3 linked regions of the Ovis aries genome follow. The protein of the gene in region 1 purifies or fractionates together with the protein of each later gene. This does not show direct contact. Links are inferred from orthologs where the notes say so. Each region holds a gene or a part of one and is shown on either strand. Other genes may lie near its edges.

Evidence for each region.
Region 2: the proteins of SF3B4 (region 1) and RBM17 purify together in Homo sapiens (affinity purification with mass spectrometry; 4 studies listed by BioGRID and IntAct, with this or other methods). This does not show direct contact. The link is inferred for Ovis aries from reciprocal best matches to the Homo sapiens genes SF3B4 and RBM17.
Region 3: the proteins of SF3B4 (region 1) and PRPF8 purify together in Homo sapiens (affinity purification with mass spectrometry; 4 studies listed by BioGRID and IntAct, with this or other methods). This does not show direct contact. The link is inferred for Ovis aries from reciprocal best matches to the Homo sapiens genes SF3B4 and PRPF8.

The regions. Positions count from the first base shown.
Region 1 is NC_056054.1:100,033,289-100,037,269, forward strand, and holds the start of SF3B4 (splicing factor 3B subunit 4), read right to left. Parts: upstream 2,801-3,981; 5' UTR 2,764-2,800; coding exon 2,730-2,763; intron 2,284-2,729; coding exon 2,155-2,283; intron 1,924-2,154; coding exon 1,381-1,923; intron 1,062-1,380; coding exon 855-1,061; intron 1-854. UniProt on the Homo sapiens protein: Component of the 17S U2 SnRNP complex of the spliceosome, a large ribonucleoprotein complex that removes introns from transcribed pre-mRNAs.
Region 2 is NC_056066.1:10,888,321-10,891,820, reverse strand, and holds part of RBM17 (splicing factor 45), read right to left. Parts: intron 1,474-3,500; coding exon 1,307-1,473; intron 496-1,306; coding exon 398-495; intron 1-397. UniProt on the Homo sapiens protein: Splice factor that binds to the single-stranded 3'AG at the exon/intron border and promotes its utilization in the second catalytic step. Involved in the regulation of alternative splicing and the utilization of cryptic splice sites.
Region 3 is NC_056064.1:22,647,802-22,651,301, reverse strand, and holds the end of PRPF8 (pre-mRNA-processing-splicing factor 8), read left to right. Parts: intron 1-524; coding exon 525-764; intron 765-862; coding exon 863-1,004; intron 1,005-1,968; coding exon 1,969-2,109; intron 2,110-2,233; coding exon 2,234-2,373; intron 2,374-2,475; coding exon 2,476-2,678; intron 2,679-2,851; coding exon 2,852-3,006; 3' UTR 3,007-3,186; downstream 3,187-3,500. UniProt on the Homo sapiens protein: Plays a role in pre-mRNA splicing as core component of precatalytic, catalytic and postcatalytic spliceosomal complexes, both of the predominant U2-type spliceosome and the minor U12-type spliceosome.

The DNA of each region.
Region 1 (3,981 bases):
GCTGGTAAAAAGTGCCCTTATCTTTGACTCCATCCCAAGAGAATAAATCAACCAACTACCCTACAGCTCCCCAGTCCCTGAAGCCCATTTGCTCCTTCCATGATTTAGGCATTGTAACAGTGCTGCAGAATGGCGTGATTATTCTACTGAATAGAATCTGGGAAGATAACAGAGACACTGTCACAGCAAAGATCTAATTCTAAAGGATGAACAGGAATTTTTCAGGTGGACAACAGAGTGGGAAAAGAACATTCCAGGCAGAAAAAAATCAGCAGGTGCAAAGCATGGATGTGATCAACAGCACAGTATGTTAAAGGAAACCCAGTAGAACAGCTTGTAGTCATGGGAGTAACAGGCAGGAGCCAGATTATGCAAAGCCTAGAATGCTATGATAGCGAGTTTGGGTTTCACTCTGTAAGTAAAAAGGAACAACCAGAAGAATTTTGAGCAAAGGTGTGTGAATATCTGTATTTAAGAAAAATTACTCTGAGATAGTCAATCAAAGTAGAGATAATTAGAGTCAAAGTGTCAGTTAGGGTATTACTAAAATAAATTAGGTGTGAAATAATGAGGATAGGAGAGCCTGGGCTTCCCAGGTGGCGCTAGTGGTAAAGAACCAATGCAGAGAGCCTGTTGTTCTCTTTGGTAAAACTTAAACAAGAAATGAAGACAGCATGATGGTTGTTAAAATAAACGGTAAAGTATCTTGCATTTTTTTCCTAAAAGAATGTCTGAAAGAAAGGAGAGCTTGGGCACTATCTATTATTGTTAAAGGACAAAGAACAGCAGCATTAAGTGCTGACAGAGCTCCTCCATCAAGCTCATCCCTCTCCTTCCCAGCAAAGAACGCTCACCTGGATGGGGCATCCCACCAGGTGGGAATGGGTGAGGATGTGAGTGTCCGTGTCCAGGATGTCCAGCCCCTGGGGTTCCCGCTGATGGGGGACCATGTCCTCCAGCCCCAGGAGGCATAGGTGGTGGTGGCATGGCTGGGGGTATCCCAGGAGGAAGGGCTCCAGGAGGTGGTACTGGAGGTGGGAAGGAGCCAGGAGGAGGCATGCCTATAGAGAAAATGGAAAAACAGTTAATGATAGTGAGCAGAGAGTGCCTTTAGAGAGCCTGTTCCACCCTGGCCTCTCCAGGCCGAATGAGCTCTTTTCCCCTCCTCCCAGCTCTCTGAAGTCAGCGGCAACATTAAGTGACTTGAACAACAACCTTCTGGAGAAAACTCAACAACTTTCTTCCCACCACAATCATCATCCCTCAACCCCTTTCTCATCACCTAATGACTCAATGTCCTCTCCTTGCCAGGTTATTTTTCCTTCTTCCTGGCCCCACCCTTCCCAACCCAACACAAACATTTTTTATCAAAAGCTTTACCTGGTGGAGGAAGCCCAGATCCCAATGATGATACCACAGGATTGGGAGCAGATGGTGGAGGGGGTGCATCTGCAAATAGCTGATGAGGGCGGTCAGCCTGGGAGAGTGGGTTCTGTGCTGCCAGAAGTCTTTCAGCGGCTGAGCCATGGCGCTCACCCTTGGAGTCCTTCTTGAATGCGTAGGACACAGTGATTGGGCGGTTACAGAGGTACTGCCCATTCATGGCCTCAATCGCTGCATCCGAAGCATCAAATGAAGCAAAATTAATAAAGGCATAACCTTTGGAGTTGCCTGTGTCAGGGTCCCGCATAATCTTGGGGGTTTGTAAGATGACCCCAAAGGCGCTAAAAGTATCATAAAGCAACTTCTCATCAATCTCCGGGTCCAGGTTCCCAATAAAAATGTTGGCCCCCACATCCAGGTTTTTGTTGTGAGCTGATGCCTTGTTCACCCGTATTGGCTTCCCATAGAGTTTGATCATGTTCATGATCTTAATGGCATAGTCAGCATCTTCCTCACTCAAGAATTCCACAAAGCCATAGCCTGGGGAAGTGGAAAAGAAGAGGTTAGCAACTGAAGTGATTTAAAAACGAGTTTATAACTCATTTGTCTTCTAAAGCACAAAGGATAAGAAATAATAATCCCAACTTCAATTGAGAATGGTTCCAGAAACAAAATCTTTAGTTTGCTCACTCCAAAACTTAATATCACTGGAGACCTCCAGGAGCAGTCTGTCCCTTTCATAGATAACTGTACTTTTTGCCGTGTACTCACCTTGGTGCTGACCAGTGACTCTATCCTTTGGCATGTGCGTGTTCACTACTGGTCCTGCCTGGAGAAATAGTTCCCACAGCAGTGGTTCGCTAACCTTCTCATCGAGGCCCCCCACGTACACAGTGGCATCTGGAAGACAGGATTAAGAGGTAAGGACAGAGATGAGGGGAAATAGGGAGGTAACGGGAACATGAAGATGGAACCCAGGCGGAGGAAGTGGACGTGGAGATGGGGTAGAAAAGCGAAAAAACAAAAAGATGTTAGATTAAGCTTTTAGAAGCTCCTCCTTTCCAGAAAATAGACAATCTTATGTCTAATTTAGAGTGACGGTGCAAGTTCACTCTGTAACTTTTCTTTTTCTTTTTTTTTTTTTTGAGTGGGAAGGCAGCAGAGGACTGGACACAGCATCACAACTATAGGCCTCAAGTCTGTCCATCCCGTCCCCATAAGGCATCGGGACCAGTCTGGCGCCCTTCGGAAAGGCAAAATCTCCCGCCCCAGCGGAAACATTGCTGGGCCTAGTCGAGGTCCCTCAAACCCCCAGAGTCCATTCTGGGTCTGTCCCCTCCAGTCACCCTGGTTTCGCTCGGAGATCGGCCCGGCAGCCATGGCGAAAGCGCTCCCGCCGTCTCCAGGCAGCGATCCCGCCCCCTGACCTCAGTCACTACTTCCGCTTCCGAGGCGAAGGCTGACGTGAGGTGGTGGGCGGGGCCGCGGCAGGGGAGGAGCCGGAAGCGGCCTCGGCCATCTTAGGAGACGCTGAGACTGGAAGCGGCTGAAGTAGCGGTGCGCTTCGGTCCACGCTCCCGTGCAGAAGTGCTACTATGAGCGGACGCGGCGGGGAAAGTGAAAAGGAAACGTTCTGTCTCTTTTAAGGCAGTGCTAGAAGTTAAAGGGTCACACTGCTCCCGAAACTGTCACTTCAGAAGCTGGGAGAACAAAACTTTAGTTTTCATGTGTTTTGTAGCCTTTTTTTCCCCCTTAGAAGGGTGTACAGAGGAACCGCTCAACGCAAGGCGTGGGGAGAACCGTCCATCCCAACCCGCAGTCCTTGAACAGACGCGGCCTCACAGCCCAGGCCTGAGCTTGAGGTATTTCCTTTTTCCTCAGGGAAGGAATTGTGGAATGTCTGAGCTCGCCTAGTCACTGCATAGGAGGGGAACCTGAGGTTCGGAGGTGGGGTGGTACCGAAGTTTACGGGGGTTTGATACTGAAGCCCAGAGGCCGAGGCCGAGGCCGAGGCCGAGGCCTTCAGAGCACACCCTGAACTCCAGCAACCTCTGGGCGTGCCTTTGCCCTGTCTACACGGAAGAGAGGACCTTAAATTGTGAATCCTGCAGCGCCTCACGCAGCCCAGCCCCTTACTTCCTTAGCAGTAATATGGTCGGTACCGTCCCTTCGTGGGTCACATTCCTTTCCCTCCTCTCCCACCACTCCCTTACCTAAGGTTCCTTTAATCAGACACAAACAATGCCAGCGGCGTGTATAAATATTGTGCTTTAATGAACTCCTTAAATAGAAATGTCACAATGAAAATATATAATTGGAAGAGATAGGGTGTCCTGTGTATATTCCATACCCATAGAAAACTATAAGGGAAGAAATAGAAATTGGAATTAAGCAGCAAGAGGAGGTGAGAAGGAGGTCTGTAGGCCATCTTGTTGGCACTGATAAACAGTATATCTGATTATCACAATTTACCAGCGCAATATCCAAAATTTCCATCCCAAAGACATGGAATTGCCCTGAAAAAGAGAGGCAGTCTTCTGGATTGTTGTTGTTTCTTAATTCTTCAAATGATAAGAACTGTTTAAACCAAACAAGGCA
Region 2 (3,500 bases), on another chromosome or scaffold:
TCTCCCTGCCCCGCTGGCAACTCTGCCAGAAGCCAGCGTCCAGGGAAGCGCAGCCATGCATGTGGGTGGCAAGGGTTCTGAACACGAGCGCAGACTCTCCACTCAGTGCTATGAATCAGAGTGCAGACGGACAGAGAGCAGGTGGGCACGGCTGTGCTACGGACGGGGGCGAGCACAGGCATGCAGCTTAAGGCGTGCTCCAAGGCCCACAACGTGAATGTTAGGGAGACCATCTGTGAACACAACGAAGGGAAACCCCATACAGATGTGGGCTTCTGCCGAGATTCCAGACAGGAAACTACCCAAACCACTGCAGCTGAACTAGTTATCAAACTGAATGCAGAAGGAAAGGGCAGAACTGCACATCCCAAACAGGACACCCATGCTCAGGCATTACTTCTTTTCCTCCTCTCTCGCTCATAATCTTCATCCTCATCAGAATCTGGATCGGGTCGCCTGGAAAACCCACTAGCTTCATGTCTGTCTTTACGCCTCCTGTGATAACAGAAGGAACAATTCAGAGATGTGAACCCAAGGATGTCACCTTGACTTTAGGGGGGCGTCGGGGATATGCAAACAACTGATTAAAGACTAAAGCAGCCAACGTGTGACAAGTGAGAAAAACCCAGAAGATAAACTGAACAAATTTAACAGGTATATGCATATAAATAGCAAGAAAAGAGTTTCCTTGATATTTTACCTCTTTCAACACTAAAGCGAATCAACACAGGTAAGAGTTAATGAAATAATTTCGATTCTCTAGAGCATGCTTTCACTTCATGAAATAAGTCAATAAATAATGAGAAATAGTATATTAATGTTTTATATAATCATTTAAAAATTAATACTCAGCATTTTTAAAAGAAGAAATGCAAATAAATCTGTTACCCATACTTTCGAAAAACATAAAAGATGTTATGAGTTCTTAAAAACTCTATCTGGCTCAAAAATAGTAAAAGGTGAGAAAAACATTTTAAGTATTTTAAGCAGTATGACTCTAGTAGAGTCAGAACATAGGGGGCAAAAAAGCAAAACCTATTATTCCACATCAGTTTGTAAGCTATTTTTCTAAAAACTCACTCAAAATGCATGTTCTAAGTTTTCTGCGTGTGTACTTGAACTTGCTCTGGAGTTTGTTTCCATGATGGGATGTAACAACCACACACTCTTAACAACAGTCTGACTCCTGAGGACTGTTCAGACCAACCACAAAACCCACTCAGTCCACAGACAGCACTAAAGTTCTCGTAACATCTGAATGAACATTTCAAACATAACCCCATCCCACACTTGCACGAGGCCTTACTTCTCTCTCTCTTCTATTTCCTTCTGTCTTTCCAGCTCCCGCTGCCTCTGTCGCTCCTCTCTTTGGCGCTTCACTACTTTCTCATAATCGTTAGGAAACATGGGATCATATTCATCAGCTAAGGGGATCAAAACTTCTCCTGCAGAAAACCCGCTGGGAACAGGGTCCTGAGGAAGGGAAAATGCCAAAGTAAGTATCACCCTCTGTCTTGGAGTTTTATTCACAGAATTAAGGTCAAGGACCATGCAGGGCCCCGAGGACCACCTGTCCACTTCTGTTCACAGATGAGGGAGCAGATGCCCGAGGAGGCTAGGAGACTTGACCTGTTCAGGCGCCCAGCCCAGGAGCAGCAGAGCACGGGAGTTCACCTCTCAGTTCAGGATCAATTCCATAAACACCCTACAGCATTTTCTTAAAAAAAGCTGCCATCACCCAAAATTTTAAGCAATAAATTTGACTTTTCAGAGTAAATATAGAATACTTCTATTTTTATATATATATAAAAACTTAAAATACAAAACAAGTCATGAATAACATGTTCTTGCAGTCATTTAATATAATAATCTCAGATTTTGATTACATGGAGACATGACATATTAAGACTCTCAAAAAAAAGAGGAAAGAAAAGTAGAAAGCTGCCTCCTGGGCTCTGAATGCTCTGGAGTCCACAGCCTCCCAAGGCCGCTGCATCTCAGACCCTGAGTCTGAACAGGGCATGTAATTCCCTTCACAACATGGTTCATTTTTTAAAGTCCACTAAGTCAGGTTTTTGCATTTCTCTTTTGTACATTTACAAACTGCTCTTTGAGAGGAAAAAGAACAAAAGGCTAACAGTGCACTAGAAACCCAAGATAAAAAGGGGGCTTTGCCCTGGGCTGGTGGTCTTGATCTCCGTGGTTCTCGTAAGCCCTGACCCACTGCATGGTCTCAGGTTCCTACATCTTCGTACTTTCTTCTGTTTGTTTCTCTAGCATGACACCCCCTTATTGTCTGTAAAAATACGATGCCTTTCCTGGTCCCCACAGACACCCAAATGAGTGCAGGTCAAGGTCCCGAAGCTCCGACTCTGGAACTGTCGGGAGAAGCGTGCCCAGCACTGCCAAAGGCAGGACGGCTGTTTGCAAAATGTATTTTACATATGAACACAAAGCAGGCATGACACAGAGAGCTTATGCTCAGTATCAACGGACCTAAATCTAACAACTCCTGGATTACCCTGTGCACTGAATTACAATGTGGATGACATTTTCTCATCATATTGATAAAACAAACACTTCATGGTCTCCTTACAATTAAAAACAAAAAACCACTTTGATTTGTTGAATAAACAAAATTAGAAAAATAACTGTCATCACCTCCCAGGCCCTGTCACTGGAAATCTGACACAAATCTATTTACTGCAAGGCTCCCAAAGGGAAGGCATTCATTTGTATGCAAATAAAAGACATTTCTAAAACACAAAAGCACCTGAACAACATTTCCATTCAGTTATTATTAAGACAAGAGAAGCTAACAATCAGCAACTCAATTTATTTAACACTACCATCACAAAGTTCCAACTCAGAGAACAAACTGTCAGCATGAAGGTTAATTCTCTGTCATTTAAAATCTGACAGCAAACAACTTTTACTGTGTGAACCCTGCTAAGTTCAACAATGAGCCATCCTGCTCTAAATGCCATAAAGAATAAAGGGCTTGCTTCATTTTACCAGCTTGACAGTTAATACCCACTGCAGAGGGTGGAAAAACTCAAATGCTCACACGCTGCAGGTGATACAACTCTGCCAGGGACAACTTGGCAATAAATAAACCGTCCAGGAAAGGGAATGATCTCCTAAAGTCACCTCTGGAAATCTATCCTAAGAAAATTTTAAATGCACAGAAAGCTCTCTCAAAAGGTGCTCCCTAAAAGGGTTACTGGTCCTACAGTTAGGAAATGGGTGTGTAAATCACCATACACTTACCTGATGGGAATACTTTACAACTAAAAATTGGCTATGTAGCAAGAAGGAAAACGTTAACTGATTAAATTTGGGGGTGATATTATAGGTTCTGGAGTCAATATACAATAACAGAAGATGATTAACCAGTTCTTGATTAGATGCAGCAAGAAAAAATTAGGTGACGAATTTGTGGGAAAAAATGTTAAATGACTAAGAATCCTCAGAAAAGTTCCCTTGTGGGGAACCAAGTG
Region 3 (3,500 bases), on another chromosome or scaffold:
CATCACACACACACACACACAACACACACACACACACACACACACACACACACACGGAGTTCTCACATCCCAGACCCCATAGTAGCACAGCTAATAACACACACACACTCCTTTTTTCTCTTTCCCTGTCACTTTTACAACCAAAAATGTCCATAGATTTCCAGATACTGGTAAGGGTGACTGACGTGTCAACTCTGACTGAGAACTTGTTTCAGGATTTTCGTTTTTGAAAGTTTTCCCAGTTTTAGGGCACTTTTTGTTGAGGTGGAGTGGGGGTGTGGTTGCTAAATCTGGTTTGAGCATGGTCAGAAGGTGCACAGGCACAGGGTCAGCCTGGGGTGTGACAAATCTGATCCATATTAGTGTATTTCCACCTCACACTTGCTGCATAAGTATCACTTAGGATTGTCAGGGGTCAGGGTACACATGGGCTCCATTTCTCACCCAGTTAACATGCTTGCAGTTAGGGGCATAAGTGACCAAGGGAAAAGATCATTGTGGTGAGACTCACACTGTCCCCACAGTGTGAATGTGGCATCACTGACACAGTCAGAAATTCGGGACATCATCCTGGGGATGGAGATCTCAGCGCCATCACAGCAGCGGCAGCAGATCGCTGAGATTGAGAAGCAGACGAAGGAACAGTCGCAGCTCACTGCAACCCAGACTCGCACTGTCAACAAGCATGGCGACGAAATAATCACCTCCACCACTAGCAACTACGAGACCCAGACTTTCTCTTCTAAGACTGAATGGAGGGTCAGGTAGTGCATAGGGCAAGACGGGTGGGGATGGGAAGGCCTGCTGGTGCCGCATGAAGTGCTTGAGTTGAAAAATGCCAACATTCCCTGCCTGTTGTTAGGGCCATCTCTGCTGCCAACCTGCACCTAAGGACCAATCACATCTATGTTTCATCTGATGACATCAAGGAGACTGGGTACACCTATATCCTTCCCAAGAATGTGCTTAAGAAGTTTATCTGCATATCTGACCTTCGGGCCCAAGTGAGTATGTTTGTCCATCTAGGCCACAGTGTGTGCTAAGCATTTATGAGCCTAAAACTCACCTGAGATTTCCTGGAACTGGAGGTGATGGTTTTGAAATTCATGGATGAGTAAAGTATATGTAAGGATAGCCGAAACAGGGAGGAAGGTTTTGGCCCCCACCAGATACCAAAGCATTATAAAGCTATGGCAATTGAGAGGAGGATGTGTGATTGGCCTAGAAGTTATTGGAAAGAAGTATCATATAGTCAGAAACAGATTCATGTGTATACAGTAAATCAGGTGTATCACTTGAGGATTCCACTCCATCTGTGGGATGAAGTGTGTTTTATGACATTGAAATAATCAGCAAAGGGAGACTTGATCCCTACTCCATAGCACTTAGAGAAGCAAATCCAGGTGGAATGAAAATCTGGATGTGAAATACTAAACACTAGTTATTAGAAGAAAGTATTTATTGTCTTAGTGATGGAATAATCTTAAATAAGATATACAGCACAAAACCATCATCAAAATGATTAACTTGTGTGTGACAAAGAGTACCACAAAAGACAAAAACAGGAAGAAATAAAAGATAACTAGAAGATTGGGCAAAGAAGGTAGTTTTGAAGAGAAACCGAGGGTGGAAAAAGTGCTGCGGAGTGCTGGGTTTAAAGATGTGCACTGCTTGTTGAATGCCTGATCTGTGTGCTCATGTGCTCATTTGTTTATGGATACTGTGCTTAAATACTTAAATAATCAACTGGGGAATGTGTGAGCAATGCCGATTCCTGGACCCCACTCAAGATTCTGATGTGATTAAGTCTGAGATGAGGTCCATGTTTAACATTTTGAATAAGTACTCCCAGGCTTTTTTGATGTAGGAGATTCTGGCCACATTTTGGGGAACTCTGACCTTGTTCCTGGAGAAGGGAATTAAGCTGGTTCTAAGAATCTCTTTGGTTTCTGACCCCCTTGTCTCCAGATTGCAGGATACCTGTATGGGGTGAGCCCACCAGATAACCCCCAGGTGAAGGAGATCCGCTGCATCGTGATGGTACCACAGTGGGGCACTCACCAGACTGTGCACCTGCCTGGCCAGCTGCCCCAGCATGAGTACCTCAAGGTTAGTGGAGGAAGTGGGAGAGCTGCGGCATCCTGCTCTCAGGGTGGTGGAGGGAAGGCAGAGGTTTTACTCTCATGGGTGGGATTTCTGGGCCCTAAAGAGCTTTCCACTACTCTTCCTATAGGAGATGGAACCCTTAGGTTGGATCCATACTCAGCCCAACGAGTCTCCCCAGCTGTCACCCCAGGATGTCACCACCCATGCTAAGATCATGGCTGACAACCCATCTTGGGATGGCGAGAAGACCATTATCATCACCTGCAGGTGGGCTTGAGCCCCCTTGGGAGGAAGGGTGATGGGAGGCATTGTGGGCCAGGGCCCAGAATGGTGGCCTGAGCTCTGACTCTGTCCTCATTTCTCTTCCAGCTTCACACCAGGCTCCTGCACCCTGACAGCCTACAAGCTGACCCCCAGTGGCTATGAATGGGGCCGCCAGAACACAGACAAGGGCAACAACCCCAAAGGCTACCTACCCTCGCACTACGAGAGGGTCCAGATGCTATTGTCAGACCGTTTCCTTGGCTTCTTTATGGTCCCTGCCCAGTCCTCATGGAACTACAACTTCATGGGTGCGTGGGGCAGGGTGTGGGCTGAGGGCAGGGGTGCACAGGAAAGTGGGGATGAGGTTAGGCCACCGCCCTTAGCACTTGGGCCCAGATTCTGGTTTAGAGATGGCCCAGGGACCCAGGCTGGGTGAGGCAGGTGGACCTTGCCAACGTTGGCCTCTTCCTTCTCCTCCAAGGTGTCCGGCATGATCCCAACATGAAGTACGAGCTGCAGCTGGCAAATCCCAAAGAGTTCTACCACGAGGTGCACCGGCCCTCCCACTTCCTCAACTTCGCTCTCCTGCAGGAGGGCGAGGTCTACTCTGCGGACCGAGAGGACCTCTATGCGTAGTCGTCTCCTCACCTCTTGCTCCAGCCTTCTGGTCAAGGCTAGAGCCTGTGGCCCCACAGACAAGCTGGTGACATTCAGCAGCTTGGCCCCTTCTTCTCTCTTCTGTGCTTGTGATGTTGTTGACCTCCTGGTGACTTGTAATTGTGAAAAAGTATAATAATAAATTTTGTATAAATAGGAGGTTTTGAAGCTTTTTTTCCCCTGAGCTCAGATTCTGGATGTAGGGATGGCAGAAGCCAGACATGTTCTCTGCAAGCTGCTGGACTGAGCCTTGAGTCCCCCTGTTTGGAGCTGTGGGGATAAATATCCTCTAAGCTCAGTGAGCTGAAGGGAAGTTGGGCTTTCACACCCCTGCTGCTATGACCACATTTGCCAGTTTTACCCCAAATACTTGTAAACGCTCACCGCTTTTCAGCATCTCTTGGAGCAGTCACTATTTTGAGTGTAGAAGCTCCTGGCTTGTTCTCTGTAGCTGCAGAGCCCAGCTTAGCCCC